Coturnix japonica: one gene and its partners. The protein of the gene in region 6 binds, or shares a complex with, the protein of the main gene of each other region. Links are inferred from orthologs where the notes say so. Each region holds a gene or a part of one and is shown on either strand. Other genes may lie near its edges. The genes, in order: TAF11, TAF12, TAF13, TAF5, TAF8, transcription initiation factor TFIID subunit 4-like and TADA2B.

Evidence for each region.
Region 1: transcription initiation factor TFIID subunit 4-like (region 6) and TAF11 share a complex: the UniProt entries of both Homo sapiens proteins name them as parts of the TFIID basal transcription factor complex. The link is inferred for Coturnix japonica from reciprocal best matches to the Homo sapiens genes TAF4 and TAF11.
Region 2: the proteins of transcription initiation factor TFIID subunit 4-like (region 6) and TAF12 are in contact, whole or in part, in a crystal structure (PDB 1H3O), measured with the Homo sapiens proteins. The link is inferred for Coturnix japonica from reciprocal best matches to the Homo sapiens genes TAF4 and TAF12. Residues at the interface, in NP_003176.2 of Homo sapiens: Phe872, Leu873, Leu874, Pro877, Leu878, Arg880, Arg881, Ile882, Ile885, Gly886, His889, Gly890, Ile891, Thr892, Glu893, Leu894, His895, Asp897, Val898, Tyr901, Val902, His904, Ala905, Thr906, Gln907, Gln908, Arg909, Leu910, Gln911, Leu913; in NP_001128690.1 of Homo sapiens: Val57, Leu58, Thr59, Lys62, Leu63, Leu66, Val67, Glu69, Val70, Glu74, Met83, Leu84, Ile87, Ala88, Asp89, Phe91, Ile92, Glu93, Val96, Thr97, Cys100, Ala103, Arg104, Ser108, Ser109, Thr110, Leu111, Glu112, Val113, Lys114.
Region 3: transcription initiation factor TFIID subunit 4-like (region 6) and TAF13 share a complex: the UniProt entries of both Homo sapiens proteins name them as parts of the TFIID basal transcription factor complex. The link is inferred for Coturnix japonica from reciprocal best matches to the Homo sapiens genes TAF4 and TAF13.
Region 4: transcription initiation factor TFIID subunit 4-like (region 6) and TAF5 share a complex: the UniProt entries of both Homo sapiens proteins name them as parts of the TFIID basal transcription factor complex. The link is inferred for Coturnix japonica from reciprocal best matches to the Homo sapiens genes TAF4 and TAF5.
Region 5: transcription initiation factor TFIID subunit 4-like (region 6) and TAF8 share a complex: the UniProt entries of both Homo sapiens proteins name them as parts of the TFIID basal transcription factor complex. The link is inferred for Coturnix japonica from reciprocal best matches to the Homo sapiens genes TAF4 and TAF8.
Region 7: transcription initiation factor TFIID subunit 4-like (region 6) and TADA2B share a complex: the UniProt entries of both Homo sapiens proteins name them as parts of the TFTC-HAT complex. The link is inferred for Coturnix japonica from reciprocal best matches to the Homo sapiens genes TAF4 and TADA2B.

What each region holds. Positions count from the first base shown.
Region 1 is NC_029541.1:4,152,679-4,156,933, reverse strand, and holds the start of TAF11 (transcription initiation factor TFIID subunit 11), read right to left. Parts: upstream 2,823-4,255; 5' UTR 2,710-2,822; coding exon 2,518-2,709; intron 2,442-2,517; coding exon 2,311-2,441; intron 2,203-2,310; coding exon 2,115-2,202; intron 1,777-2,114; coding exon 1,680-1,776; intron 645-1,679; coding exon 514-644; 3' UTR 1-513. Other genes in the region: ANKS1A (ankyrin repeat and SAM domain-containing protein 1A), read left to right, coding at 3,117-3,337. UniProt on the Homo sapiens protein: The TFIID basal transcription factor complex plays a major role in the initiation of RNA polymerase II (Pol II)-dependent transcription.
Region 2 is NC_029538.1:2,033,389-2,036,269, forward strand, and holds the end of TAF12 (transcription initiation factor TFIID subunit 12), read left to right. Parts: intron 1-321; coding exon 322-399; intron 400-689; coding exon 690-804; intron 805-975; coding exon 976-1,064; intron 1,065-1,627; coding exon 1,628-1,663; 3' UTR 1,664-2,113; downstream 2,114-2,881. Other genes in the region: RAB42 (ras-related protein Rab-42), read right to left, coding at 2,873-2,881. UniProt on the Homo sapiens protein: The TFIID basal transcription factor complex plays a major role in the initiation of RNA polymerase II (Pol II)-dependent transcription.
Region 3 is NC_029516.1:74,708,906-74,713,499, forward strand, and holds TAF13 (transcription initiation factor TFIID subunit 13), read right to left. Parts: upstream 2,924-4,594; 5' UTR 2,818-2,923; coding exon 2,791-2,817; intron 2,699-2,790; coding exon 2,620-2,698; intron 2,531-2,619; coding exon 2,433-2,530; intron 1,105-2,432; coding exon 934-1,104; 3' UTR 486-933; downstream 1-485. Other genes in the region: GTPBP8 (GTP-binding protein 8), read right to left, coding at 4,527-4,594. UniProt on the Homo sapiens protein: The TFIID basal transcription factor complex plays a major role in the initiation of RNA polymerase II (Pol II)-dependent transcription.
Region 4 is NC_029521.1:20,666,131-20,669,954, reverse strand, and holds part of TAF5 (transcription initiation factor TFIID subunit 5), read right to left. Parts: intron 3,669-3,824; coding exon 3,353-3,668; intron 2,695-3,352; coding exon 2,531-2,694; intron 2,090-2,530; coding exon 1,954-2,089; intron 1,472-1,953; coding exon 1,351-1,471; intron 644-1,350; coding exon 514-643; intron 1-513. UniProt on the Homo sapiens protein: The TFIID basal transcription factor complex plays a major role in the initiation of RNA polymerase II (Pol II)-dependent transcription.
Region 5 is NC_029541.1:4,766,473-4,771,085, reverse strand, and holds the start of TAF8 (transcription initiation factor TFIID subunit 8), read right to left. Parts: upstream 3,009-4,613; 5' UTR 2,985-3,008; coding exon 2,721-2,984; intron 1,767-2,720; coding exon 1,610-1,766; intron 1,307-1,609; coding exon 1,208-1,306; intron 989-1,207; coding exon 926-988; intron 576-925; coding exon 451-575; intron 154-450; coding exon 6-153; intron 1-5. UniProt on the Homo sapiens protein: The TFIID basal transcription factor complex plays a major role in the initiation of RNA polymerase II (Pol II)-dependent transcription.
Region 6 is NC_029526.1:9,324,256-9,328,079, forward strand, and holds the end of transcription initiation factor TFIID subunit 4-like, read right to left. Parts: intron 2,130-3,824; coding exon 1,962-2,129; 3' UTR 380-1,961; downstream 1-379. UniProt on the Homo sapiens protein: The TFIID basal transcription factor complex plays a major role in the initiation of RNA polymerase II (Pol II)-dependent transcription.
Region 7 is NC_029519.1:72,523,433-72,527,782, reverse strand, and holds the start of TADA2B (transcriptional adapter 2-beta), read right to left. Parts: upstream 2,841-4,350; 5' UTR 2,794-2,840; coding exon 2,524-2,793; intron 2,144-2,523; coding exon 1,151-2,143; 3' UTR 1-1,150. Other genes in the region: CCDC96 (coiled-coil domain-containing protein 96), read left to right, coding at 2,899-3,294, 3,405-4,265. UniProt on the Homo sapiens protein: Coactivates PAX5-dependent transcription together with either SMARCA4 or GCN5L2.

The DNA of each region.
Region 1 (4,255 bases), on a different chromosome or scaffold from region 6:
CAGCAGAAGGGACGATGCTGGTGGGTAAATACACTTGAGGACGTTGCATGTTCCTTTCCCAGGCTGCTGGATCTGAGGACCCTGAGGCACCAGGCCAAGGATCTGCCTCCTCCTTGAGCCTGCACAGCACTAAGCTGACAAACTGGCCTTCAGCAGTTACTGCAGGAAACATCCCCGTGGATGCCTACATGAATGTCTGCACACAATGTGCTGCTGCTGGCAGGGAGTTTAATGGGAGCAACTGCAGGTTCTGCTGCAGCATTTCTCCCTGTCCTTCTGCCCCATGAGCCGTGCTGAGAACACTCATGGTAGTTTTGTAAACTGAAAGCAATCCACATAAGACCTCGATGCTTGAAGTTACTGAAATCCACGTTGAATTGAGCTTGCTTTGGTACAGCTTCCTTGGAGAAGACTGCAAGCGGGAGAGGGGAATGCTTCTGTCTCATAACTGTCATATGGTGCACAACCAAAGCTTGTTTGAACTTGTCTTCTCTTTGCTGATCCCAGGACACTTCAGTGGAAGATGATCTTTTTATATTTGGAATTCGGGATCTGTCCTCGTGACTTGAGCCTCCTCACAGCCTCCCGCATGTGTTTGGGCTGCAGAGGTGGCAGCTCCCCCCACTTCTCACACACATCCAGTGCTAAACAAAGGACAAGAGTTGACGTGAACAAGGACAGCTCAGCTCTGCCATTCTCCCAGCAGGAGACATTTGAAAAGCCTCCCACTGGTTGAACTTCAATTATAAAGTCAACAGGTAACAGTGTTCAAAGCTCATGTTTTATCTGTACAAAGGGATGAAACAGCTTTGGGTGTTTCTCTGAAGAAAAACTAGTCCTTGAGGCATCAATACCAGCTCAGAATCAGCTGCTTTGTAACCACGTCCCAGCTGCTATGGAATAGACTAAGTCATGCAAGAGCTTGAAAAGGCCTCATCATCTTAAACCTGCTACTTTAAAACCACTTCTAGCTTGTGAAGTATGTTTGGGGACTTGTGTGCAGCAGGGATAGGAGGAAGGAACCACCTACAGCTGACTTAAAGGGCAGTTCCTGTGCTTCACTTCTGTTAAGTATAATTCAGATCTCCTGCCAAGGACACGAAGCAATAAGTACAGCAGAGAAGCTGCTTATCCAGACTGCCTCTGGCAACACAGAGCTGCAGACACAGTCAAAGCAGCAGAAGTGCCAAAAGCTGCATCATCCTGGCTGATGGCAACCCCTGCAAGTCCAGGCTGTGTGTTTTGTGTGACAAGCCTGTACTAAGTGGCTGGCACAAAAAACAAGAATCTTTTCCTCCTCTGCATGAGCAGGGACACAACTGGGTCAGCGCTGCACAGTCTATCCCAAGGAGATCTCAGCTCACTGCATTAACAAAGAATCTTGCAGGCTAAGAGGCTTAAATAACGCATTTCCCTTCTAAGCTGAATTTGTCCACAGTAGCATTAATGAGATCTTTGCTGTAGCACTGCAGCCTGCTCATGTAGGGGCAAGAAGTCCCAAGTTTTAACAGTTGTCTTCTGCTGCTGCTGAAAGCAGGAGGGCCCTGCAGGGCACTGTCCAGGCTGCACACCTGGACAAGAAGCCACAAAAGTCCAGCTTTGTTTCATGTCTCTCTGCTTTAAGCGATGTGCTCTCTGTGTCCTTAACTTTTTACTGAACAATAATGTGATTTGCTCACCTTCCTCCACCACTTCCCCAACGAAGACCTTGGAAATGCCAGACATGGCAATAACCACATTCTGAGAGACAGAGGTGCCCGTGATGGACTGGATCAGCTGCACAAGCAAAGAACAGGCAGTCAGTCAAATGAGGTACATGCAGCAACACTGAAACACTTCAAATTATATTTAGTGATTGGAGCCAAATACTGAGCACCAGTGAACAAAATGAGCAGAAACAACAGTAACAGAGCTTTGGAATGAGCTCCTATAGCTTTGGGCACATGGTAGCTGTAACAATTTGAGATTAGTTTGATTCAGCTACAGATCAGTGCTAGCAATTATTTTGCATCGCTGTCCCCCCACAGCCATGTTGGGGAGGGGAGGTTGGGGGGGGGGTATTGTGGCCAGGCTGAGCCGTTTGCTTTGTGCTGAAGCACGAACTGAAGTCGTACCCGTTTGATGGCAGCCTTGGGGAAGGCAGAGCGGCGATACATCTCGTAGCGATTCAGCTGCTCCTCGGAAAAGGAGGAGACCAGGATCCTGGAAGGGAGAGGACGAATCACTCACAGAGCTGAACCACAAACGATGCTGATGCTGCTCATGGCCATTAACCCCGCCCTGCAGCGCAGCCCATTCCCCAGCACTCACTGCATCTTCTGGATCTCATCCTCGTCCACTTTGTGCTTCTTCTCCTTCCTCTCCTTCAGTTCCACCTTCACCTTCTTTGCCGCCTGTTGCAGGTTCGGATCCTCCCCGTCCATCCCGTCCCCGCTCCTCCCCTACGATACAACACACCGTTATGGACCGGCCCCGTTCTCTCCTCATCTCCCGGCCGACCCGGTGCTGAGCCCTCACCTCCCCATCCGCCGCCTCCGCCTTGAGCTCCTGGCCGGCTCCAGCCTCCATGTCCCCCTCTATAACCCCGTCCGTGGCCGTCGGTTCCTCCATGGTCCCATCCCCGCCGTGTGGTGATGTAGCGGTCGGTGCCGGTTCCCGCTCGGTGCCGCCCCCCCGCTCCTCCCGGCCCGGCTCACCGGGATCCGCCATTACGCCTCGTCTCTACGGTCGCCTGGTGATGACGTCACGCTACGGTGGCCGACAGGGGGCGCTGCTGTCGTTATGGCGACGGGGCTGAGCGCCGTGCGGCCTACAGAGCTGTGAGCTGCGTGTGGACCCGGCACAGCAGGGTGGGATCCACCCCATCTATAGCCGTGCTGACGGGCTCTACGCGTCATTTTGTATCAGTTCCATTTGATAATGAAGAGAAATGGGATGAGAATATAGATCCACCAGGGGCGGGGCCTACAGCAGACCAGGCCCACTTATTAGGCCGCGCCCACAATAGAGAACAAACGGCCCCTCAGGCCCCGCCCACTCGGCCTCAGGCCACGCCCCCTCAGCGTTCTTCCGGGGCGGGGCCTGGCGGGAGGCGGCGGCGTTGGCCGGGCCGGGCCATGGGGAAGGAGCAGGAGCTGCTGGAGGCCGCACGAACCGGGAACCTGCCCGCTGTGGAGAAACTGCTGTCGGGAAAACGGCTGAGCTCAGGGTTCGGCTCCGGGGGAAGCGGAGGAGGGAGCGGAGGAGGATCCGGGGGCGGTGGAGGTGGTGGAAGCGGCGGTGGAGGAGGTGGAGGAGGAGGTGGAGGAGTGGGACACCCGCTGTCCAGTCTGCTGAGGTGAGTGGGGGGCAATGAGGGGGATGGGGGCTATGAGGGGTGGGCCCATGGAGCTGGGGAGCTGTGGTTAGAGGTGGGTACAGGGCTGAGGCTGTGGGGTGAGGAGGATGGGGAAGGTTGTGGGGTGAGGGCTGTGGGGTAGGAGCCCCCCACAGGGGGTAGTTTGGGGCTGGGAGCTGTGGGTGAAAGCTGAGGGGAGAGTAGGGCTGTGGGGGATGCAGTGTGTGAAGTTTGTAGGCTCTCAAGGTGAGCATTGATTTATAGGAGCTGTGGGGTGCATGGGGTTGGGGTGCTGTAGGGCTGTGGAGAAGGATTGAAGGTGTGTGGACTTGAAGTTGGGGTGCTGGGAGACTTGGACTGTGCTGCTTGAGGTGAGGTGTGGGTGTAGGGGTTGTGGGGTTGATAGGGGTGCGTTGTTGAGGACACAAGATGTGTGGGGATAGTGGGTTTGTAATGATGAGCTGGGATTTTGGGGCTTCTGAGACTGGCTGTTGGTGTGCTTGGGGTGAGGAAGGGATTGTGGTACAGGGGATGCTGTGGGTTGGAATCTGTGCTTGGGTGGAATGTATGGGTGGGAGGGCTGTGGGACAGGGGCTGTCCGAGCTCCCATGGCATGGTGTGGGATGGAGCCCAGTGGGATATGAATGTATCTGTACTGTAAATGGAGAACTGCTGCCCCTGGGGTCTGGGCCTGTGTGTGTCAAAAGGAGTGCATGAAGGGGATGGGATGAGGCACTGTGGTGGGTTGCATGGACTGTGGGGTACATGGGGTGTGTGAGGGTTGCCGAGGTTGTGGTGCTGCAGGGGTTGGGAGCAGAGTCCCTGGGGGTTCTGTGCCCCAAGGTGGGGCTGTAAGGTTGGAGAGCAGTGCAGCAGGGCTGGGTGCTGCCCCATGATGGCTTTGGCTCTGCCTGCTCC
Region 2 (2,881 bases), on a different chromosome or scaffold from region 6:
TGTCTTTGTCCTCTCTTGCCGTCAGCCCCGCTTCAGACAGGGGCATTTTAGTGCTGGTTTAGCACAGGAGAATTAGTCCTCTTAACCTGCTGCGCTCTGCTCACTCTGCTTTCTGTTCAGAGCAGCCAGTAGTGCTTGAAAATGACTCCTTAGCACCTGATGTCTCTTATCTGCCCTTCCTGGGCTGATACCACGTGTCAACACGTGTGACTTGTGTCTCTGCTTTGTAAGGGAGGAGGTCTTTTGTGGCTGTGCAGGGTGGGCAGTGATTTGCTAAAGCATCGCAGTGAACGGTTCCAATTTTCTCTCTCACTTACTCAGGTTTTAACCAAGAAGAAATTGCAGGACCTGGTGCGTGAGGTGGATCCAAACGAACAGCTCGATGAAGACGTGGAGGAGGTAGATACCAACCCATGGCAGGGGCTGCAGAAAGAGCAGCTCTGGGGTTTCTCACAGCCCAGTGACCCTTTGCCCAAAGCAGGGAGGGCTGGTTTATATTACACTGCCTTATTCTCACGTTCATTGCAGCCTTCAGCCATCCATGTCTCTGCTTCCCAGTGTTCAGAAAGGCTTCAGGGAAGCAAAAACACCCTTGAAACATTATCTTCGGAGGGTTCATTTTCATACATTCTCATAGTTTCAGCTGTTGGGTGCTGCTGAGACCTCTTTTTGTCCTCGTTCTGTGGCAGATGCTGTTGCAGATTGCTGATGATTTCATAGAGAGCGTGGTGACAGCTGCCTGCCAGCTCGCACGGCATCGCAAGTCAAACACCCTGGAAGTGAAAGATGTCCAGTTGCACCTTGGTAAGGAGCTTTTGCCCTCACCTGAGAGGTGGGTGCACAGCCCACTGCTGGGGTGACAACCCATGAGAAGACTCACTGCTCTCACCATAAAGGAATGAGGGGATAATCTGCCCCTAAACCCATCGTCTCCAGGTGGGTTCAGTGCTCTGGCACGTGCTCTCTCTCTTCCAGAGCGTCAGTGGAACATGTGGATCCCGGGCTTTGGTTCTGAAGAAATCAGGCCCTACAAAAAAGCCTGCACTACAGAAGCTCACAAACAGGTAAGGAGCCCTTAGGAACGTGCTGAGAATTGCATGGTAGAAGCCTTATGTAGGTAATGTGCCCTTGGACTCCTGGTGAATCCGTAACCTCTTCTGAGTGGAATTGCAGGTCTCAGCTCCCTACCACCATAAGGTTTAAGAGCATGCAGTTGTCTGTGATTTCAGCTGTGACTGCAGCTGGTTTTTTTTCCCCCCTTAATTTTGTTTTAACTGCATCAGGCAATTGCTTTTGAAGCATAAGGCAGGAGGTTCCCTGCAGGAGCTGTTGGAGTGCATGGGTGTTATTGCAGCTCCTCCTGAAGCTCAGATGGGCTTCAGTCCCTCCCCTGGTGCTGCTGCTCTCCTTTATCACGCAGCCTTTACAGCCTGGGGGGCAAATTGGGGCAGCGCAGACGTTTCCTTTTCCTCCAAGACTCTGAGATTCAAATGAAGTTGACAGACCTGTGTGGAAACAAGCCGGGCAGTGCCCTGAGAGAACCCGAGATGGGTTGTTCTGCACATCTGCTGTTCAGGTTGCATTGCAATGATCCGAGACTCAGCTTCCCACCTTCTTCTCCTTGCAGAGAATGGCACTGATCCGTAAAACCACCAAGAAGTAGAAGTGGGAGAAGAGCTCGGAGCTGCCAGCGGTGCATTTTGGGATCTCTGCCTCTCACTGCAGCCTCTGCGACGCCACCCATGGGATATTATTTGTTCGTGCTTTACAGAGAAGCATCTATTTTTTATTGACGGTGCAGCAATATCTGAGTCGATGAGGAGATCTGCCAAAACCATCCTGTTCCTTGTTCTCCCCCTTAAGAGCGCAGCGTATCTCAAAGCAAAGACTTTTATTTGTGACTTGAAAGTGGTTTATCATATAAGTGATTATCTGAGGGACAGAGCATTTGATTGTGTGTATGTGTGTGTGTGTGGGACAGTATTAGAAGCAGCTGTAGAGGTTTTTGTTTCCTCCTTCATACCCCTCCCTGCTCCCGTACTTTGTAATGTCAGTGTTTATATAAAAATACTTGCGTTTGTTTTACATGAATAAAGAAATTATTCATCTAAAACCAGGGGAAAGAGGCAGCTGTGGGGTGAGCCTGGTGTCTGTGCGTGAGATCTGTGCTGGACTTTGATGGTCTCTGCTCTGTGCTCACTGCATCAGGACCTGCTGTGGCTCAGCCCGTTTGGATGCAGGCAGGAGGGTTGTGTTGGCCAAGGGTAAGAAATGAGTGTGTTCTGTTTCCCTGGGGCATGAAGAAGGCTCACAGCCCAGCATCTGCTCTGCCCACACTATATGCATCAGAGATACTACAGCTGCTGTGGGATGCAGTGGGGAGGGAGGGCAGCTCTGCGGGCTCCCTGCAAAGAAAGGGAGGTTGTGGATGCTGCTGCCTCAGTGCAGAGCTCACTGCTGGGGCTCGGGCTACCGGCACCCGTGGGTGAAACCCACTTTGTTGGTAGGTGAGGGCTCTGTCCGTGCACTAAGTGCAGCTGGGGCAGGTCTGACCGGTGCTCGGGAGGGAGAGGCGGCTCCTGGGGCGCAGAGCTGCCGTCTGTTCCCAGGGTGCTGCCCAAAGCGTGGCCTGGTGCTGCAGGGCACCGAGCTGAGGGAGCTCCCTGCTGGAGAGTAAACAGGTTTTGGGACCCGACAGCACATGGAGGGGCTGCGTGCTGTGCTCGCTGTCTGGGAACCGCTTTGTAAGAGGGGGGGATGAGGAGGAATGGGGCCGTGGCACCTCCCCTGTCCCGGGAAAACGGGTGAGTCAGTGCTATTTAATGCCATGGCCCACCGCTCTTCCTACCTCCTCGGCACCTCCAACCCCTTGTTAACACGC
Region 3 (4,594 bases), on a different chromosome or scaffold from region 6:
AACCAAATCCTGCTGCTTTGGAAACAGGGCAAAGCACAGTTGGAGCCCGCAAGAGTAAACTTATCTGTGAACAAGTCCCCCAGTGTCCTGAAGTCTTTTCAAGTGTGCAGTTTTTGCCTGCTTGGCAATGTGTAGCTATTCCAGCACATACTTATTCCTTGCTCTAACATTATTTCACAAGCTTAGTGCTTTCCATCGAGCTCTTATTTGTAATTACCCGGTGATCCTAATCTTGTGAAAAAAGTTCTTTGAATTAAGTCAGATCAGTTTTATAGTGGAGCATCTGCCCAACAGGGGCAAGGCAAGGATCTGAGTGCAACTAAATCTGGAACAGGTTAATTTCAGTTCTCTAAGTGTACAGTAAAAACAGGAGAGCTGTGTCTACTAGGACAGAAACAGCACTTAGAGCTCATGAGATGCTACAATAGCCAACAATTTTTATGTGCCCTGCGTTAACTGATCAGTGTACGTGTAGTTACGAAGAGTGGGCACAGACTCGAGTTGCTTTATTCAAGTTTATGTACAGAGCAGAATTTGTAATAGTTTGGGCTTGACAACTTTGTCCAGTTAACCAACATCTATTTTCCAGGTTTCCTGTCAACAAAATACCTCGACATAACCAAAGTAGAGAAGAGCTTGTCATGGGCCTTGTAGATTCCCAATTCAGCTGTCCTACTGCAGACTTCTCACCTTTAAAATATCTTTAGAGCTCATTTCTCAAATTCCCATAATGGTATAAAAACACGTTAGGAGCGCCATGTGTAATCAGTTAACATCTAGCTGTTTGAATGCCTACCACAAGAGGCTGAGAGGCAGAGCAGATAGCAGCAATGATCTCCAGCTCAAATAACCCCTCAAAGCAACACACATGACATTTCTTCCTCTTGAGCAACAGGAGCCCACAGCACGCTCCAGTCAAGCCTGTACACAGAATCAAGATCCATAGTTTGCTTCATCAAAGGCCTTTCTGGCACGTTTCAGTTCTTCATTCATAGTCAGAAGGTCTTTAACTCTGGCAAACTTCCGGGGGTCCTTGCGGATTAGGAAGACAATGTCCTCAACCTGTACACGGCCCTGCCGTCCAATTGACATGGCTTTGTGTGTCTGCAAGAGAGAAACATCAGTGTTCCTCTGCCCCTTTTAGTTTTGTTTTCAGATCTCAATCCTACTGTATTTACTGACATTTTAAACAGTCTAGAAGGCAGCAAGTGCAGGATCTGGGCATTGCCATCCAAGTGCAGTACCTCATATACACTGGGTACCACTGCACACACAACAGGAATGTCTTTGGAACTGAAGGCAGACTGGGGAGGGGACACCTGATCTGCAAAGTGCTTGAGGAGCAACAGCATCAAGCAGAATCTGCATGCAGTATGCAATACCTGCATCAGAGGACAGTTTTTTTCTATTGAGAATAGGCAAGGCTAACTTCTCATGAGAAGGGATCCACAAACAATACCACTTTTCTTATTCTTTTTTTTTAACATAAGTGCTCAAGTTGTATCCAAATGTCTGGATCAGCAGTGGCTTTAGGGCCCAGATGGCTGCATTTATTTTATGGTGTGGCATTTCCATCTGTGTAAAGGCACTGAGAGAACACAAGAAGCACATAACATTTCAAAGCTGAGCCATCTGTCAGCAGAACACACAGCGATGCCACTGGGTGCCTCAAAGTCAGCTATGGATTTTTTCCCCTAACTGTTACTTAAAGCCTCCGAACGTTGCCCTAAATCCATGTGGAGTAAAATGTGTTAATTCTATCTTAATATCGGAAGGGCAATCACAGAATCACAGAATGACCCGGGTTGGAAGAGACCTCAAGGATCATGTAGTTCCAACCCGCCTGCCTGGCAGGGCCACCAAACATACACCTTTACTAGATCAGGTTGCCCAGGGCCCCATCCAACCTGGCCTTGAACACCTCCAAGGACGGGGCATCCACAAGCTCCCTGGGCAGCCTGTTCCAGGGCCTAACCACTCTCCTAGTGAAGAACTTCCCCCTAACATCCAACCTCTTATATCTGAGTTTAGATTTCTTCCCAGCAGCACACGAGTTTTTGCCTGGGATAATGCTGAAGGAATTTCATTGAAGCAGAGGGAGCCAAAGCATGCTCCCTACACCAGGTTGCACAGGTAGGAGTCCGAGTGGGTCTTGAACAGCTCCAGGGAAAGAGACTCCATAATCACTCTGGGCAGCCTGTTCCAGTGCTCCGTCACCCTCTCCATGTAGAAGCTCCTGCACACATTTGTGTGGCTCCATGCTCCAGTTTGTGGCCATTTCCCCTTGTCATATTGCCACATGCCGCTGAAAAGAGTCTGGCCTCATCCCTTTGCCTCCCACACCTTAGATATTCACAGACATTGATCAGATCCCCTCTCAGTCTTCTTTTCTCAAGGCTAACAGACCCGTGTTTGGCACACCACTGACTTACCATTTCAGTGATAAATTCTATCACCAGGTCCTCAAGAATATCCACAGATTCCGTGTAAGGGTTCTGGTCATCTCCAAATCCGTACATCATGCATCTTACTGCGGGAATACACACAGCGTGAGGCCTCCATCTGCTCAATGCATCAGTAACGCTCCCACCCTGAGCTCCCCCCCCAACCTGGACTCACGTTCTTTAGAGAAAAGCCTCTTCCTCTTGCCCTGCCCGCCGTCCAAACCGCCGCCGGCTTCCTCGGAGTCCTCCTCGAACTGAAGGAACAAAGCGGAGGAAGGAAGCCGTTAAACGGGGAGCTCCCTCCCGCCCCGAGGCTGAACGCAAACAACCCATCCCCGCCGCTCACCGGCGCGTCCTCCTCCTCGTCCGCCATGGCCGCCACAGCCCGCTACCGCTTCCGGTTTCCCGTTCCCGCCTCCCCTGGGGGCCGCCATCTTGTTGTGCCGTGTCTATAGCACCCAGGCTGTTTCCCACCCCTCACTCATCTAGTGTGAGAAATGCCTTGGGAACTTAGGCTATTCAAAAGATTTTTTCCTTAGGAAGACGAAGGAGAGGAAGAAAAAGGTGCAGCTGAGGTACAGGCACTGGAGAAACAAAACTTTACTGGACAGCAGAGTCAAGAAGAATCTATGGAGCACTTGCTTAATTCGATTTTATTTATTGCCACATCTGTCACAGAGCTTCCAAATCTTGCACATAACAAACTGAGGCCTTGAAGATAACAGCTTGGACTACACTGATGCTTTTGAAAGACACTGGTTTTAAGATACAAACACACAATTATTCCCAAAACATTGACTTGAGTGTTTTCCACCTCTCTAGATCCTACTGTATTTATTTCTAGAATCAGACACTCACAGGCCAGTTTGCTTTGGTGCATTTTGGGATTAGAAGCAAAACGGTAGCATGACATGCTTGATCTCTGCTTACATGTAGAAACTGGAGATCCACATCTCCCTGCTGGTTTCTTCATCCTGCCACTTCCTACATATCTGCTGGAAACAAACTTCAAGCCTAATCTGAGAGTTACAGGACATTCCTTAACGTAACAAACAGTAGAAACACCACCTTCAAGCCTCAGAGTGGGTTATGAAAGAATCACTTTTCCTTGAGATATAAACATTTAATGTAAGTTAACCTCAGCAACTGTATACGCAGAATTGGCAGTCTTAAGACAGGACAAGATGTGTGCCAGAGTGTGACACAGGCACTTTATTAGCTTTGGTCTAAATTGCTGTGTACAACTACTGCTATTTAATGGCAGTCCTTTTTGTACATTCTGTACCAGATGTGGTTTCCCTTTGACCTTAGCCAGGTACAGTGGCTGCAGGACCTCTGTGTTGTGCTTCAGCTCCCAGGGCAGGACAGATGTAGGTAATGGACCCATCTCTGGTAACTGAGCTGAGCGCAGCTGCAGAACTCACGTGGGATTTAAAACAGAAGGTTCATGCAACACTGAGTGATGATCAAGTGCAGGAGGAGAGAGTTCTGCTAGGTGTTGTTCATTCATCACCACTGTTTCAAGCCAACAGCCAACCAGGAGGCAGATCCCATAAAGTAGGTTTCCTTTTCCACATCTGCCCGTAACAGGGACAACCAGATGTAGACAAGCAAGGCATGCCATGCTATCACGCTGAACCTACGGAATGCACAATGCAGAGGAGTTACAATAGTGAAAAAAATACAAGTTTCCAAAAAGCTTTTTGCAAACAAAGCATTGACTGTTTTCACTCTGGACAGCCTTAGAGCAGGCAGGGTGCCCATACGCTCATTTAAACTGCTAGGTGTCATTCAACTCAACAAAGCAAGTACCTGGCTTCTCTCTGGAGGTTCTCTGATTATTTCTTTTCCCTCCCTTGACACAAACACATAGGTTTTGTGTAGTACCCAGGATTCATTCACAGTGATTAAGAAGTTTATTAAACAAAAAGCTCGCCTTTACAAACATTACTTTAGCCAAAAATTTATAAAAGTTTATCCAAAAATAATTGTGGTGCTTCAGGTTCTTACAACAACAATCCAGACCTCTGGTTTTGGTACCTTTTGTTCCAGATGAGCTGAGCAGATCAGGAGCCAGACTTCTCAACTGGACTCTACACTAGGCAGGTTTCCAGTAACATGGGCTACAAAACACCTTAGCAAGTGGACTC
Region 4 (3,824 bases), on a different chromosome or scaffold from region 6:
CTGAACCCTTGGTTGTCAAGCATAAGAGACATTTGAATGTTGATGATTAATTCTGATGACACAGCAATACAGAGGGGCTGCAAAAAAGAACTAGTCTTCACTTAAGAATTACATTCACATGCGGGGGGAAAAAGCAGTAGATTGCTACACTATATTACTTTAGAATAATCTTAATGCAACTCTAAACTATATGGTAAGATTCCCTGAATGTGAACTCGGTATGAAATCTTTTTCTTAATTATTAACAAATTATGAATAGACTCTCTATATAGACTATAGGCTGTATATAGATTCTATAATCATGTTCCACACAAAGCTTACTTCTCAGCTGTATTTCTGTGATGGTTGTCTCTTGTGTAGCTTACATAATGTTTTCAAATCTCTTATTTTAAAGAAGATACAAGAGTTACTTTGATCTTCTGGTAAAAGCCGCATTATAAACACGTTCACATTCATAGCACACTATTAAGATTCAACACAAGCGAACTAATTAGCTTGTAAACTTTATTTTACCTATCAGGACTGAAGCTGGTGCCATAGACAGGTCCACTGTGACCGTATAAAATCTTCAACTCACTTGCAGTTTTCTCATCCATGATCCTCTCCAAGACATCGTCTGATTCTTTGTCAATTAGACTGAGGTCTGCAAGATTTCAAAAGTTCACACATCATGACAACTGTCAGAGGTTCATCAAATGCCATGAAAACAAATAGCATTTTCCCCAAAAGCAATAAAAAAACTCATAAACAAAAACACCTTGAAATAGGTAATGGTGAAATATAAACAATGGCACTTAAAATACTTCTACCATTGTAAAAGGTGGCAATAATGCTTTATGTAAATAACCACTCTTTAACAAGTCTTCATAACAGATAAAACCTCATAAAAGATAAAATCCTGAGGGGTTTATTTTTTAGCCTCAGGACACACTTCTTGAGATGACAAATTTCCATGCCTTTTCCCAGGAAGTTAATACGGCACAAACACACTTTGCAGATGTTCTGACAGCTTCCCACTACACACAACTTAAAACAGCTTTCAATCTGTAGGCTACTATTTGCTGAACACCACAAGCACTTTTTGATTCAGCACAATGACTAAGAACAGTTCACTCGTTTGTAGGCTGCCCAGCAGTAGGTGTACACAACCAGATACCTCATTCCCTTAAAGATATGTATTTCTATTTGTAGTTACAAGACACAATTATACAGCCGTGCTCAATGTTTCTTCAAAGTAACAAGATGCAGCTGCTCAAAACAACTCTCCCAATAGACATATTCTTCTGTTCACACAAAACACACATAACACAAACAACACACACTCACATTACATTTTTTTTACTTAATTACCTGCTGCTGCCTTCACACTACGTAGCTTTTTTGGAGTCACGGACCACACTCTGACGGTAGAGTCAGCAAAGCCTCCTACAATCATGCTGGAGTCATCTGTAATATCTACTGCAGTTAGACCCTATAGACAAAATAGCCATTGATGTTGTTTGTATTTTTCACAGTGTATTTCAAACACTACCAAACCCTAAACACTAAAAAGAGAATTAACTATGCTCATTTGATAAAAATAGAATAGTTTGGACAAACACTTGCTTGAAATAAACACACACATTCTTGCACCACGAAAAAGAAAGATATATAAATGAGGCGTAGTTAATGATGACAGAGCAGAACTGCTTCCCAGTATTTTGGTGCAAACTATCTACTGTATTCTGTAGAGTAGGGTCACATAGGAAAAGTGAAAGAAAGAATTAAGGTAAAATCAGAGCAAACCCAAGGAACTTGGAAATTAGTTTAATGAAGTCTATAAATAAAATTTTGAACGTTCCAAATACTCTGATAACCAACATTAACTCTTCAGTCTTCTTTCTTTATTAAGAGTGAAGTTTATCATTTTGACTCCCTCTTTCATGTTGCCCAAAGTCTTTTTTTTTTACCAACCTGATAAGCATTAAGGAATGTGTAGAAGCAGATGGAAGGCAGACACTCTGGCCCAAGACGCACACGTCTGGCAGCTTCCTTCATGTTCATCACTTTATCCAGTTTATCTGAGTCTTTCAGTTCGGGCAGAGGAATTCTAGAAGCACACATTTTTATGAACTTTCCATATTGTCAATTTAAACAGAGAAAGCTGAACCTTCCCATGCAACCCTACACCTCAATATTCAAATATCAAAATAAATTCAGAAGAATGAAATACTGTGTAAAAGATTGATGAGAAAAAGAAGCAATAGCTTTATGAAATCCAGACAAGTAGTGAAACAAGGTAACTAATTAAGTATGGCTTGAAAAGATGAGACAGTAAGCAACTAAAATCAAGGGAAATCTAGATTGATGTGAAGGGCAAAGACAGAAGGCTACATGCTAAGGTTTGCATTATCCCCCTTGAAATCTTACAACTAAAGCTGTCTACGGCTGAAATGGACAAAGAGCTAAAAACATCATGTGACCAGCACTGCACATTTAACATGGTAATACTGGATTTAATAGAAGTTCCCTACACATCCTCCCTTGGTACCTGTTTTGAGGAGGAGCATTAGGGTCTTGTTTTTTACTTTTTGATCCTACACTGTCTCTTTTAGGTTTCTTCTTCTTTGGTTTTCCTTCCTCGTTTTCTCCTTCTTCATCTTCATCATCCAAAGGCACATCGAACTCTGGTTCTTTCAATAAGCCGAAGAAAACCTGCAAGCCAATAAAAGATGTATGACATAATGGTAATTTTTGCTCTTACTGAAAACTGATTTTTCATCAGACTCCAAACATTAGTCGGAAAGGGATAGTTCTACTAAGTTGAACATTACTGCATTCATTACTGATTAGCCTGGCACAAGTGTAAGACACGTTCTACTGTTTTAGCCAACAATTGACCTGGACAACTGTGAGTTCTCCCACCACCTCTTAGTTCTTCCCTGAAGCAAAATCCCTACAACTTCCATAATTTATTTGTGTAGCATTGCGGTACTGCGCTATTGAGATCTACCCAACAGCCTTTGCAATAATAACTGGAAGTGAGAACTATTGCTGCTGTACTAGAGAGGAAGCGAAATGGGTCAATGTTAAAACTAGACAACAAAATCATGAGTTTAAATCTAGTTCAGCAAACAGAATATAGCATTGTCTCTCACAGTTCCTTCCACCAGTCAGTGACACATTTTCATTTCTCTACTACTGATAACATCTATTTGTACAGAACCTTTATTTAGTTCATGTTGTCTTTTAAGATATCAAGTAGCAATAATCATATATAGTATGATTATATACATATAAACAAATATAGTACTTCCTGAAAAACTACTCTCAAAGCATTCAATAATAAAGAGCAACATCCTTTTCCTCCTACCTTTGCTTTATTTGCCTCTCGTTTTGCCTCCCCAGCCAAGCTTCCAACCATAGCATCTATCTGTTGTTTGCTACGGGGCATTCCATCAAATATATCAATGTAGAGATGTTCCTGAACAATGTTCCAGATCTGGTTGTTCTGCTTTTCCTGAAGATGCCTCTTCAAGAGCTGGTAAGAGTCACGGGAAATACGCAGAACGAACTTGCTTGTTCGGAAATCCAGCATGGTCTCATTACCTTTCATGTGTTCTTTTTTGGTTAAGCTGGATAATACACGGAGGTCATCTTGGTAATAACATTCCTGATCCCCATGAAATCTATTGAAACAATTTAACACGTGGGAAGAGATTCATTAGGAAAATATTATCTCCTAAGTGCACACTTAACTAGATAATTTTAACGTGAAACACAGTGGGTTCCAAAGGGTCCTCACAGAACTACATATGGAATGAGCTTTCTGCTTAAATAAATTT
Region 5 (4,613 bases), on a different chromosome or scaffold from region 6:
CTCACATGGGAATGTGCTAACATCATCTTTGAAGAGACTCTGTGTTTCTCCTGTCTTAGCCATGAAGCGGGTGAGAGCTCTTTCCACGTCACGCCTCTGAGATGCTGCCTTTTCCCGTAGGACTTGATAATCGGACACTGGCTCTCGGTACGTCTGTAGAGCAGGGATGACAAAACAAGTACAGTCACTAGATTCAGTGAAGACAGATCAAGTTCAAAACACTAATAGGATGCAGGCAAGCACTGACCTTCAACATGTGCACGTTTTCAAACAGCTACAGATATCAGCTATAAAACTAGAGCAAGTACAATATGCAAATGACAAGCATTGTGCCAAGGTAGCAGAAACAATGTTCAGGAACAGCACTACAATAAGAATGCACATGCACCTTTCCTAACATTACTGACTTCAGACAGAAACCAAATGGCACAAAAGTCTTTTTTCACTCACTGGTGTCTTGATGTAGGTGTGAGGATCTGGAAACTCAGGGAAATAGCCAGGGATGTGGGATGGATGTGGCTTGTTCTGTCCAGCTGTCAGGGCTTTGGGAGTCACGGGCTGATTTGTCACAGGAGCTATGGTTAAAAAAGCACATGCACTACATGAGCATATGACACAAGCAACAGTTTCAGGTTGTATTTGGCATCCCAAAAGGGAACAAGGCTTACATGACCCCTCCTACACAAGGAGAACCACCTTGAGGATTCTCATGTGCAATGAGGATACTGAAGCAAAAGCAACAGGTTTGGCAAAGGACAGACACTCTCCTTCACCTACTACATCATAATTACAGGAATCTTTAACACAAACTGAGTGCCCCGGAGCAATGGACTACACCATCCATGAGAAAAGCAGCAGCTCTCTGGATGCCAGCAGATAGAAAAGACAAATGGTTTCCTGCACAAGAAAAGGACTTCTCACATACGGGCAGTGATCACCATCCTCTGGGAGCGCTTTGCATATGCAGGAAGTGTTTCAACATTGAACCCTGAAATACAGAAGAAGAGAAAAATGGAATCACACCAAGAAGAAAGAAAATAATGTACTCTGTGTGCATACACACTACATCAACAGCAGTGATACTGGAGCCTCTGTGTGCAACCCAGAACAGCCGACATCACACAACTACACCAGGAACAGACTGTCATGGCAACACAGAACACCCACTGTATGTATGTGGAATGAGTGAGATGAGTCAGCTACTCACCCATCTCCACTAAAGTAACAACTATGTCAGACAGCGTGGGCTGTGTTCGGGCTGTATGCTCACAGTAGGACTTTGCACTCCTTCCAATTTCAGAAATATCTGGAGGGGAAAAAACCACCAACAACCATTACATGTTCATTTTATTTTATTCACATTCCATGTTCATTTCAGGCAGCAAACACACATTTGTGTCAGCACAACACCTGACTTTTGATCAAATCTAGTGTCATGGTTTTATGATTTTTGTTATTGTTATTGCACATCATAACATCATGGAAAGCACCGGGAGTTAAAGAGTTAAAACAAAACCAAACAAACAAACGAAAAACAGAAAGAGCGAAAGCAAATGTGAACCGATTTCAAGGTGATTTTGCCCTAAATCTGGTGGCACCCGACACTCACAGCTCTGTAACATCTCTGTCAGTGTTTCCACCGCAGCCTTCTCAGCGCTCTCAAAGCCGGCTTCAGTGAGCAAGGAGCTGACCACCACCTGCAGTGTCCTCCTTCGGGCCAGGTAGTAGTTATCTGCTGGCGTGGTCGTGTGCTTGCTGCCCGACCGCTGTGGACACAGACCCCAAAACACTGAACCTGAGCCCCAGACGAGCTGCCAGCACTCGCTCTGTGCTCACACATTGTCCCTGCACACATCACGGGTGTACATACACAGCACCTACCTACACACAGTACAGACCCACCTACACAGACACACATGTACAGACATACACACATGAGGACTGCTCTGAAAGTAATGCCTCCTATTTCATGATGTCGACATCAGGGTTAGATGTTGGAGGCGGGGTAAAGGCTGAACCTTCCTGCCAGCATTGTGTACATTACATTGTGTACATTACATTGTGTACATTACATTGTGTACATTACATTGCTGTGTGACAGGTGGCAGCAGCTGGACATAACGGTGTGTAATGAAGGAGTGTGAATGAAGCACAGAATCACTGTGTTCCTGGATGAGGGCAGATGCTTCTGGAGACAGAGCAGCCGCTGTGAGCACAGTGCGGCGTGTTCCAGTGATAACAGTGGGTCACTCCAGCAGTATGAGTGCAGCATGCAGCTCTTCTCCAGTGCCAATATGGGCAATGGTGGTGACCGTGTTAAACAGCAGTGCTTTCCAGATGTGCAAACACCTGATCACACAGTATGATTGTGCTGTACCTGCTGCAGCTTCCATGCGAATAAATAGGAGGCTTTACCTTAGGAGCGCCCTACAAGCAGTGCCTGTCCATACTCATATCCCCATATTTACACACGTTCCCCCATAGTCGCTCTGTCCCTTTAAACGCTGCATCAGAGCTCGGACCAATCACAGCTTGCCGCCAAGCCCCGCCCCCACGCAGCCATGCAGCCAATCAGCGCCTCCCTCCGTTCAGCTCCCCCTTAAAGCCGCCGCGCTCAGCCCGCAGCCGTTAGTGTCCCGCTCCCGGTGCAGGCCGCGCCGCTCCGCCCGGAGGGGCCGTTCCCACAACGACCCCGCGGCCCGACGAGGAGCCGCCGTTACCGTGCCGGAACCGCCGGGCGCCGTGTCGGCCATCTTGGAGCCATAGAGCGCTGTGCGCATGTGCGGGGCGGTGGGGCCGTGCGGCGAGGCGCGCGTTGCACTGTGGGGGCTGTAGGCGGCTCCAACATCCCCCACAGCCCCGCGGTGCGACCGGGACGGGACAACGACGGGATGGTGATGGGACAACGATAATGGGACAACAACGATGGGACGGCGATGGGACAACAACGATGGGACGATGAGCTCCGGTAACGGCGGCTCCATGGCGGGGCAGCGGCCCGGCCCGGCAGCGCTGCACGATGCCCCGAGAGCTGCGAGAACCTGCAGCCCCGCCCCGCGATGCCGGAGCCGTGTGGAGAGTAAACAACAGCCAGGAGCGGGACGGGACCGGGCAGCGGAGCTGGTGGATGGTGAAGGTACGAGGCACATAATGGGTGGATGGAGCGGGGAGCTGCTGCCATAGTACGGCCTGGGCCTGAGCTGCCGGTGTGTGAAGGTGCCGTTGTTGTGGCGGTGTCAGCACCCAGCTCTGCTGTGCCCGGCGGGGTCGGTCCCTCGCTGTGTTCGGGGCTGTGTGTGCTGTGCTGGCTGCTGGAATTGGTGGCAGTGATTAACGGAGTGTGAGGGAGCACAAGGAGCTGGGAATGGAAGCGCTGTGTGTGGTGGAGCTGTGACCTGCTGGTTGATTGTGGGGCGGAGTGATGTGCGTTATATGGAGGGATGTGGCAGCTGGGAGCTCAAAGCAGCCGAGTGAAGCTGCTGAGAACAGGCTCAGGCTTCATGTTGGGTGGCTGCATTACTTGGTTTATTCACACGTGGGAGCTGTTGGATAAATGAGATCCCAGCCCTGTGCTGCCCGGTTGGTTTTCGTTGGCTTTGTGGGTTTTTTGTTTGTTTGTTTTACTCTTGGGAATACTTTTCCCCCATCCCACAGTATCATACACTTCAGAACAAAGCTGTTTCTTTGTACACAGGGTGTCTCTGAGGAGGGGGTAGCAGGGGAAGCCCTGCAGTGAGGGCTGCTGGGTGCTCTAGTTATTGGTGCAGAGCACTGTGTTATTTTGGATTCCAGTCCTGGCTGCATCCAGCCTGCTGAATAACCAGACACAATCTCTTTGCTCCTCTGCACGTTTTTTCCCATCAATAAGTACTGCCATGCCTTGTGAGCTGCTCTCAGAACTGATAAAGTGCACCCGCTGATGTTACAGTACATAACATAACATTGGTGGTGGTGTCAGCTGGAGCCCTTGGGTTCTAACCAGAGCACTGCAGTCCCTTCTAAACTCAGTTACAAACTGAAAATCCAGAGCCTGGTGGAATTTTCCTCAGCTAAATATGTGCAGAAGTCCCTAAAATCACAGGTGCTGCATCCTGTTTTATGGCACAGGTACATCATTCTGTTATGCATGGCTTCCGTTTGCCTGGCAGGGTGGGAGTGGGAAATGCTTCCATAAAGGTCTGGCTGCTCAGTGATGTCGGGGTTTCTTGTGTGTCTGTGAAGCAGCAGCTGCTCGCAGCCACCGGAGGAGACTGGCCAGCCAAGAGGAAAGGGGTGAAGTGAAACAAGGAGAGCTTCAGGGCTGTGCTGAAAGATGTTGCCAGGGATCTGATGTGGAAGGGAAGGAATCTGGAAGCGAGCAGAACCATGCTGGCTGTTCGTGTCCATAGGTGGAGGGTGACATCCTTATTTTGGAGCCCATGTGGAGTGGGAATCGATGTTGCTGCTGGAAACGTTTGCCAGTTTATGGTGCCAGCTTCCTCTGCAGTGCTGTGAAATCAGTCAGCTGGCAGCAAAACAAGGAGATGTGGGATGGTGGGAGTCTGTGCGCCTTCCTGAGCATGGGGTTTTTTCCCAGAGATTGGAACGCTTCCTTTTGCAACAAGAAGAACTTT
Region 6 (3,824 bases):
CTGAGCACCGAAGCTGTGGCTTAAAGAACGGTCTTTGCCAGCCCTCTTTGTTCAACTCCATGGCACTGCTCTGCTCCCAAGTCTGAAAAGAAGTGGAAGAAAGTTATGTTGTGCTTATTGGACCGATTGCCCTTGAAAAGGCAACTGTTGAGTGCATTCATTCACTGCATTAATAGCATCGAGGTTTGTTGACAATTTTATTAGATATTTGACAAAGGATAAGAATCAGCACAACAAAACATCGAAGTATTTGGTTTTAATATTTCTTTGTGGGTATCCTGTTAATATTTTAATGCAAAATGTTTCTGAACAGTGCTTAAGAACTACCAGACAATGTGAAATTCATGTTTGATAAATTAATGCTATGTCACTCGATGTGTTACTTTAGTAAATTGTTTTATTTCTTTACAAAATAAGTACAAATAAGGGAGTATGTTTTCACACAAATTGGGGGTATTTACGAGTATGTACAGAAATCATCAAAATAACGTAATTCTAATAAACACAAGGCCTTTATAAACAATATGTACAAATTATCAATACATTTAAAACATAATTTTACACTTCCTGGCCTTAAATACCTTATGAATAATCTTTTGGCTAAATAGCAGCAGTATAAATTTTCTTCTGCTTTTCATAAACCTTAAAAAATAATTAAAACTTTTGTTTTTAAAACTATTGGACAAATAGTTCTATTTGTGCTTTCGCTACGGTTTCCCATTAAAAACAAAAAAATATTGCCTCAAAAAAGTGGCAAGCATAATGTAGTAAAATTGAAAAGATAAATAAGCAAATGTCTCCCTTCCACAGCCACCGGTAATACTGTCACATCTCAAGCACGACTCGTGCCCACCTCCTTGCTGAGCATTCCTGTCCAATTCCCATTTGAAAAGACTCACTAACTTTGCTTGGCTTTGGTGTTGGCCCTGGAAAATCCAATTCAGCAAAGCGTTTGAAAAGCATTCATCCCGCCATAAGAACTTACACCTACCCATATGCTTAAAGGCATGCACTTGTTCATGAGCCTCTCTGGACTGGAGTCCTCGGGTCCAATCGTCCACGGCAAAGCACCGCCGGTCCCCGCAGCACCAGCCCCCGGGGCACACCCGGCTCTTGTGGCTGCCAAGAGGGAACCGGACCCCAAAAGCTTCCTTTACAGTTACTCGAATAATCCATATAGGATACTCTAAAATCTTTCCCAAACAATACTCTCTTTTATAACCACCACTAAACCATACTCTGTGCAATAAATAAATTAAGATATTTTTAGAAAATAAAAGGATTCATGTTACTAACCAGCTGCTACAAATGTGCAAAAGGTTGAAGAGATTCAGAAAGCAACAGGAAGCTTGGTGGACCTCAGTTGGGACCCGAACACACAGATTTCATACACTTAGGATTTGGTTTAGCAAACGGCTGAAGGAATGCACTGTGCTGTAAAAGCAAAAGTCCTAAATATATCAAATGTGTGACAGCGTGCACTGGTTATTCTTTTAGCTGTGCAAAAAATTGCAATCAGATCCAATCTAACAGGTATTGCCATGGTTAGTGGAAACAGCAAACCCTAAAGGAAAACCAGCACCGCTGGTGAACACAAAGATTAACCCCGTTCAGGTCCCAGTCCTCCTGCCCATGACATCTAATCTATGGCAGCCGCTGAGGCATTTATGTAAATCAATGCCATCCATGTTAGCCTTATCTAATGTGGCCAAATGCAGTCAGCCTTTGGAGTTGGTTACATCTGCAGACTTAACGTTTTAAAAACTTTTGCACATTTTTTTTTCTTTTTTTTTTTTTTTCTTTTTTTTTACATAAAGGGAATTTATTGCATGTGTCTGCCAGTTTTACAAAACAAAATTACCAGAACATTGACTTCTGAAAAAAATAGAAGGCACATTAAAATGACAGCTTTTCAATGCAAGTTGAACTTCTGTATGGAGAAATCAGTACAATTCTTGGCTTTACTTAAGCAGAGCTCGATAGAGCAGGAGAGAACGGCTCGTTTCTCTTTCCTGTTCCATGTAGAAGATGAAGTCCCTGAGGTTTACTCGCGTTATTTTCTGTCGTGCATACTGCCTGGATGAAGGAGTCCCCAAACCAGCCTGACCTCCACCGGAAATACTGAGGCCCTACAAAGAAAACACAGCAGAGTTCAAAGTCCTGCAACAGTCAGGAGTTTCCTCCAGCCACCACCTGCTGGATTATTTCAAATATCTCACATGTATTATGAGCCTCACTCTGAATGTATTACGTAAGACTTGCTTCTACTTCTGAGTCTCACCAAGTAGATTGAGTACAGAAACAAGTGGGAACAAGCACATGGGACAAAACTAGACAGTACTTGTTTACAGCACAGGACAAAGGTACTGAAAATTCTCCTGCTACAGTCACATGAACCACAGATGTATTAGGGCTGTATAATGTCAATAGCATTTCTGGGACAGAACTATATGCAGTAGATGAAACCTTTAGAACATCAAATGTGTGCTCCACATCCTGCATCTAAGGCTGGAACAAGGTGAGTGCTGTATGGGTGAGTACATTGCTGCTGCCATAAGCTGCAGGTCCCACACATGCCCAGATTCCCTCCTCTGGGTGTCCTGAAGAAAAAGGTTTGGTGACACTGAACCATCCTGGTGAGATGGACAAATCATGGAGAGCAATCACAACAAAGACTCAGACACTGTAAGATGATGGAGACAAACATAACTGTACTGCTATGTAAAACAATGATAAAACTTTGTTTAAGTTGGTTTGAAGCTCCTGAATCACTGAATAACTCATCCTGGTCTTTCCAATAAGTTTCTAATACCTTTAAAATACCAGGCCTACTTACTGCTGCTCTTAACCTACCTTTCTTTCCCCAGGAAATACTTCTGCATGATCTCGATTTCAGCCCTTACAAATACGATTCAGCGTGACTTTAGTACTGAAAGGTTATGGGGAATACATGTATGGTACATTGTGAGGAGGAGGTGACACTTTTCTCTATTGCTTTTCTGCTCACCAGCAGAGCAATACTGCTCGATACATTTCCCTCATATCTGATTATTAAATTACAATAGTGGGTCAAATCCTATTTTAACATAGCCTTACTGTAGTTAAATGAATGCTGCTAAGCTTGGAGGCAAGAGAAGGAAAAGCCCACAACCTTTGAGCACCACAAGCATTTGATCTTAGGGATTCTGGTCTTTAGTATGAAGTAGCTTTTGCTAACAGATTAATTGATTTACCACCCAGCCTCATCGCTCATAGGAAAAGCATGTGTTGCAGCTGCAAGGGTTGCTCATCCATGCTGAAGCCAGACATCTCCCCAGTGCATAATCCATTTATTAGCAGTGCTCTGAATTTATTCAGCCTTTATGCTAAAACACATTGCATTCCCAAATGGAACAGCATCATTCCATTCTCCACCTTCCACAGGTTTGGAACAATGCCCCACCTTAAGCTGCCTCTCATCCCACTCTGTTTAGCCAGGGCTGTTGTGACTAATTCCAACTTTCCAAGGAACGACCACCTGGATGCTTATTTTAATTAAACAGTCTTAAAAATATTTCTCTTTTTTCTCATCCTCCTACACACTGAATCTCTCCCCCTGCCCAGCAACACTTCTGTCAGATCTGAGCAGCAGCAAACACACAATGCGACCACCAGCCACCCTAAACTCACACCACGAACTCATCAGATACCACCTGCAGCTCACTGACCCAGAAGCACCAAGTACATGCTGCAATAAGCCTTTAAAAAAAAAATAATAATAATACCTTTTATATTAAATTTTCTTCATCTAAAAATATTCTTTTAATTGTTGAGGTACATATAAA
Region 7 (4,350 bases), on a different chromosome or scaffold from region 6:
TGCGGCAAACCGAGATCCATTCTGCCAACCACAGCGGAAACTTCGGCACATTTAGTCCAGAAGGTTTGGAGGTACATGCAGCCAGAAAGCTGCGACGGCTGCATCCACCGCTCTGCACTCCAGGAGCACAGAGCTGTGCGTTGTCATCTATATACTTTCCTTTTTAGTTTGTACAAACCAATCTCAGTGGCCGCTATGAGCTTCAGAACGGAGCTCCCTGTCCCCATCCCTCCCAGCAGCTCTCAGGAGGCAGCTGCAAGAGCTCAGGCTACACATGCTGGGCACAACAAACAGGAGAGGAAGAGCAGGTTCTCCTTGCAAAAGGAAGAGGTTATTTCACCACCTGAGGTTGCCAGGGCAGCATTCTGCCCGCTCTAAGCCACAGCTGGCCAGAACCAAACACTTCACTGCAGTGCTGAGCCCAGTGCAGAGCACACAGCTGCCCAGCCAAGCTTACACTTGGGTCAGGCAGCTCTCCAAGAAGCCTTCACACACAGCACAAATACCTGCAGGCACCTCATCTACCAACCCCCATCACAGCTCACCAGCGCTGCACCCCACGGAAGCTCTCACCCCACATCCTGACACCTGGGCTGTGCTAATGGCAGCGCTCCAAAAGCTCAGCAACGGCCACACCAATCCCTGCACCCCACATCTGACAGCTCAGGATTTCTGCAAGCTCTGCTTGGCTGCCATCACTGTGACAAAAAACATCAGGGAGAAGAAGAACTCAGCTGCTGAAAACCAGCTCTCACCTCCGAAAACAAAAAGAAAAGGAAAATAAAAGGCAAAGATTATGGCTGACATTGACATTGATCCAACAGTAAGGAGTGAAGTGATCACCCCAGAACCATCGGACTTGAGTAGGCTCACATGAAAGCAATCTCTTTGAGTAATGTAACAACAGTGTACTCTAACGAGTAATGCAACCGAATGGAGAAGTTTCACAATTCAGGGTTTTTCATGACCCAAAGCAAAAGTGTGCTGGGAGCTCAGCCCACAAGCACCGCGGGGGGGGGGGGGGGTTGTTTTTGCTTCTTTTGTTTTTGTTTGTCTGTTTTGAATGAGATAATTTCTGTATCTCCAGCGAGGGCAGGAAAAGGAAGGGAACTTGTCAGGTCTCTGATGCGGTGGCTCAGATGGATGGGCCTCATGACACGTCTCTGGATATCCAACCGCTCTCTGTTAGAAAGTTTAAAATCCTTTTCTTCAGTACCTTATCCAGGTAACTGGGGAGGCGGCTCTTGGAAGGAATCCCTTGTCTTTTCTGAAGATGGTCTTTAATGATGATGGTTTTTACAGTCACGTAACGCGCAGGACTCAAATTCAGAGAGCTGCAAAGCACTTTTTCCCTGTCCGATAAGAGTTCGAAACCAGGCAGGTTTTCAATGGCAGCAAATTCCCCTTCTTTGCCGTCCTCCTTCCCCCTCTTGGAGCTGGCAATGTTTTTGTTCTCCTTCCTCTTCTCCCGTTTATGTCTGGCTGCCTCGTATTCCGCCGACTCTTCCATTTTGGTGATCCCATTCCGCCGGTACCGCTGCAGCTCCCGGATCTTTGCTCGCAGCACCCTTTCCTTGTGCATGTTCTCAAAGAAGTCTTCAAACTCCTTACAGGACATGAACTGGTACAGAGGCCTCAGTTTCAGCCTCAACTCCTTCTCTTCTTTCGTGATCTTTCGTTTGGGAGTTTTCTCCTTGTCTTTCTTATCCTTCCCCAGGAAGGCCGGCACCAAGTTATAATCTCTCGCAATGTTCTTCCGCCGTTGCCTCTCCTTGAGTTTTCTTACGTACATGTCTACGTGAGCTCTTTTCAATTCTATCTCCACGTCATCATCGTCGTAGTTCACTGACAGGCCGCTGATCAGTGTCTCAGCATCCTGGTCGTATTCGATCTCGTAGTCGTCCCGTAGCGGCATGTAGCCCAACTGCTGCTGCTCAGCCACCGAGATGTCCAAGGGCGGGAGCGGCGTGGTCAGGCTGGGGGAGAGAGGCCCCCCGCTGGGACACGTGTGGTCCGTCACCCTGTTGGGGATGGTGTCGGGGATGCAGGCCTTGCCCAGGTTGCCGTGGATGTACATGCTCACGTAGTGCTCCATCACCTCCTGGGGTGTCCGGGATGCTCCCACGTGAGCGGCCATGTCTTCCTAAATGGAAAACAAGGAGGGGCAATAAGAAGGTTCCCGTTATACCTCCAGCACAGCACTCGCTCCTTCTTCCCTGCCCCTCAAAAACTGATTCACAAGACACCACGATGGCTCCTGAGTCCCTGAGCTCAATGTGTCACCTGCCAGAGTTCTGTTTTACAGCATTACTTTTGGAGCAACAGAGAAATAAAGAAAGTAATAGAGAAATAAATAAAGAAAAGGGGCACGGCTTCAAGCTGAAAGCAGGGATACTGAAGTTGGGGATGTTAGGAAGAAATCCTGTACCCAGAGCGCAGCGCTACACAGGACAGGCACATAGAGACCAGCCGAGCTCGGAGCAGCTCGATGCCCCGCACCCTTACAGCCCTTACTCTCCTTACCCAGTTTCCGAACCCGAACTGCTCGATGGCGTCCAGCAGCAGCTGCTCCTCCCGGCTGCTCCATCCACCCTCCGCCTCGGCGCCCCATAAGGTGAATCTGCCGCCGTCCACCAGCTGGTAGCCGTGCCATCGGCGGTGCGGGCCGATCTCGGCTCCGGCCGAGAAGCAGTCGGGGCAGAGCTCGATGTCTGCGCACTCAGTGCAGCGGAAGCGCAGTGAGCTCACCTCGGCCAGGCAGTACACGCAGTACTTCTTCCCCAGTTCCGCCATCTTACCCCGCCCGCCGCCTCCCCGCGCGCACGCGCGGCCCCGCCCCCGCTCACACGCGGCCAATGGCGGCGCTCCCGCCGGGAGGAGCCTCGCGCCGGGCGGCCAATGGGTGACGAGAGCTCGGGCTGCCCCTCCGGATCGCGGCCAATGGGGGCGAAACGCCCGTTGGCGGGGGGGATTCGTGTGAACGAGAGGCTGCGATTGGCCGAGCGGAGCCCTGCCGCCTTTCGGGCGACCAATCGGAGACGTGACCCCGGGCGAACCTGCCGCTCAGTGGTGGCCGGGGAGAGAGGGCGGGGAAAGGGGCGGGGCCGGGACAGAGCAGAGCAGTCACCCGGGCAACGGGGGAAGCGAACGGGAGGAGACATGGACGGGAACGGCCAGAACCCGGCAACGGAGGAGCCCCCGGCCGAGGAGCCCCCGGCATTGGAGCAACCCCCGGCCGAGGAGCCCCCGGCCATTGGGAGCAACCCCGGCCGGAGGCAGCCTCCGCATTGGGAGGCAAGACCCCCGGGCCGAAGGAAGGCCCCCGGCTTGGGCAAAACCCCCGGCCGAGAAAGCCCCCGGCATTTTGAGGAGCAAACCCCCGGCCGAGGAGCCCCGGATTGGAGCAACCCGGGGCCCGAGGAGCCCCGGCTATCTGGGAGCAACCCCCGGCCGAGGAGCCCCCGGCATTGGAGCAACCCCCGGCCGAGGAGCCCCCGGCATTGGAGCAACCCCCGGCCGAGGAGCCTCCGGCGTCGACGCCGGAGGAGCCCCCGGTATTGAGTGAGCCCCCGGTATTGGAGGAGCCCCCGGTATTGGAGGAGCCCCCGGTATTGGAGGAGCCCTCGGTATTGGAGGAGCCCCCGGTATTGGAGGAGCCCTCGGTATTGGAGGAGCCCCCGGCTGAGCAGCCCGGGGATGGCGAAGTCTCCGAGAGCGAACGCGACGCGCTGAGCGAGGACAGCGAGGAGCCCGAGGGCCCGACGGAGCCTGCGGAGCCCCCGCAGCCCGAAGGCGAAGCGGAGGAGGCCGAGTGCCGCGACGAAGCCGAGGAGGAGGAGGAAAGGGAGCGCGACGAGCTGCTGGCCGAGTACCGCGAGCTGGAGTCCGAGCGGCAGCGGCTGCACCAGACCGAGAGCCGCCTGCAGCTGCTGCTGGCGGAGCTGCTGAGGCCGCAGCGGAGCGAGCGGCGGGCGGACGAGGCGGGCGGGCAGCAGCTGTTCGCGGAGCGGCTGCGGGAGCTGCGGGAGCTTTGGGGGCGGAGGGAGCGGGAGGCAGAGAGCTGGAAGCTGCGGGTGGACGAACGGCAGAAGGACAGCGAGGAGAGCGAGGCCAGGGCCAGAGCCGCGTGGGCCGCCTTCCAGGCGAGGAAGAAAGCCGTGGCCGTGCAGACACTCGAGCGGCGGCGGGGCGGCAGGGAGGCGGCCCTAAGGACGGTGGGGGACATCCAGGCTCGGGAGAAGGACAAGGAGGCCGCACTGCGGGAGGTGAGTGCGGCACCGCCGGGTCCGGCCGCGAACACGAAGGGTTCAGCCCTCCGTCTGCGCCGAGCTCCTTCCCTGCCGAGCCGGG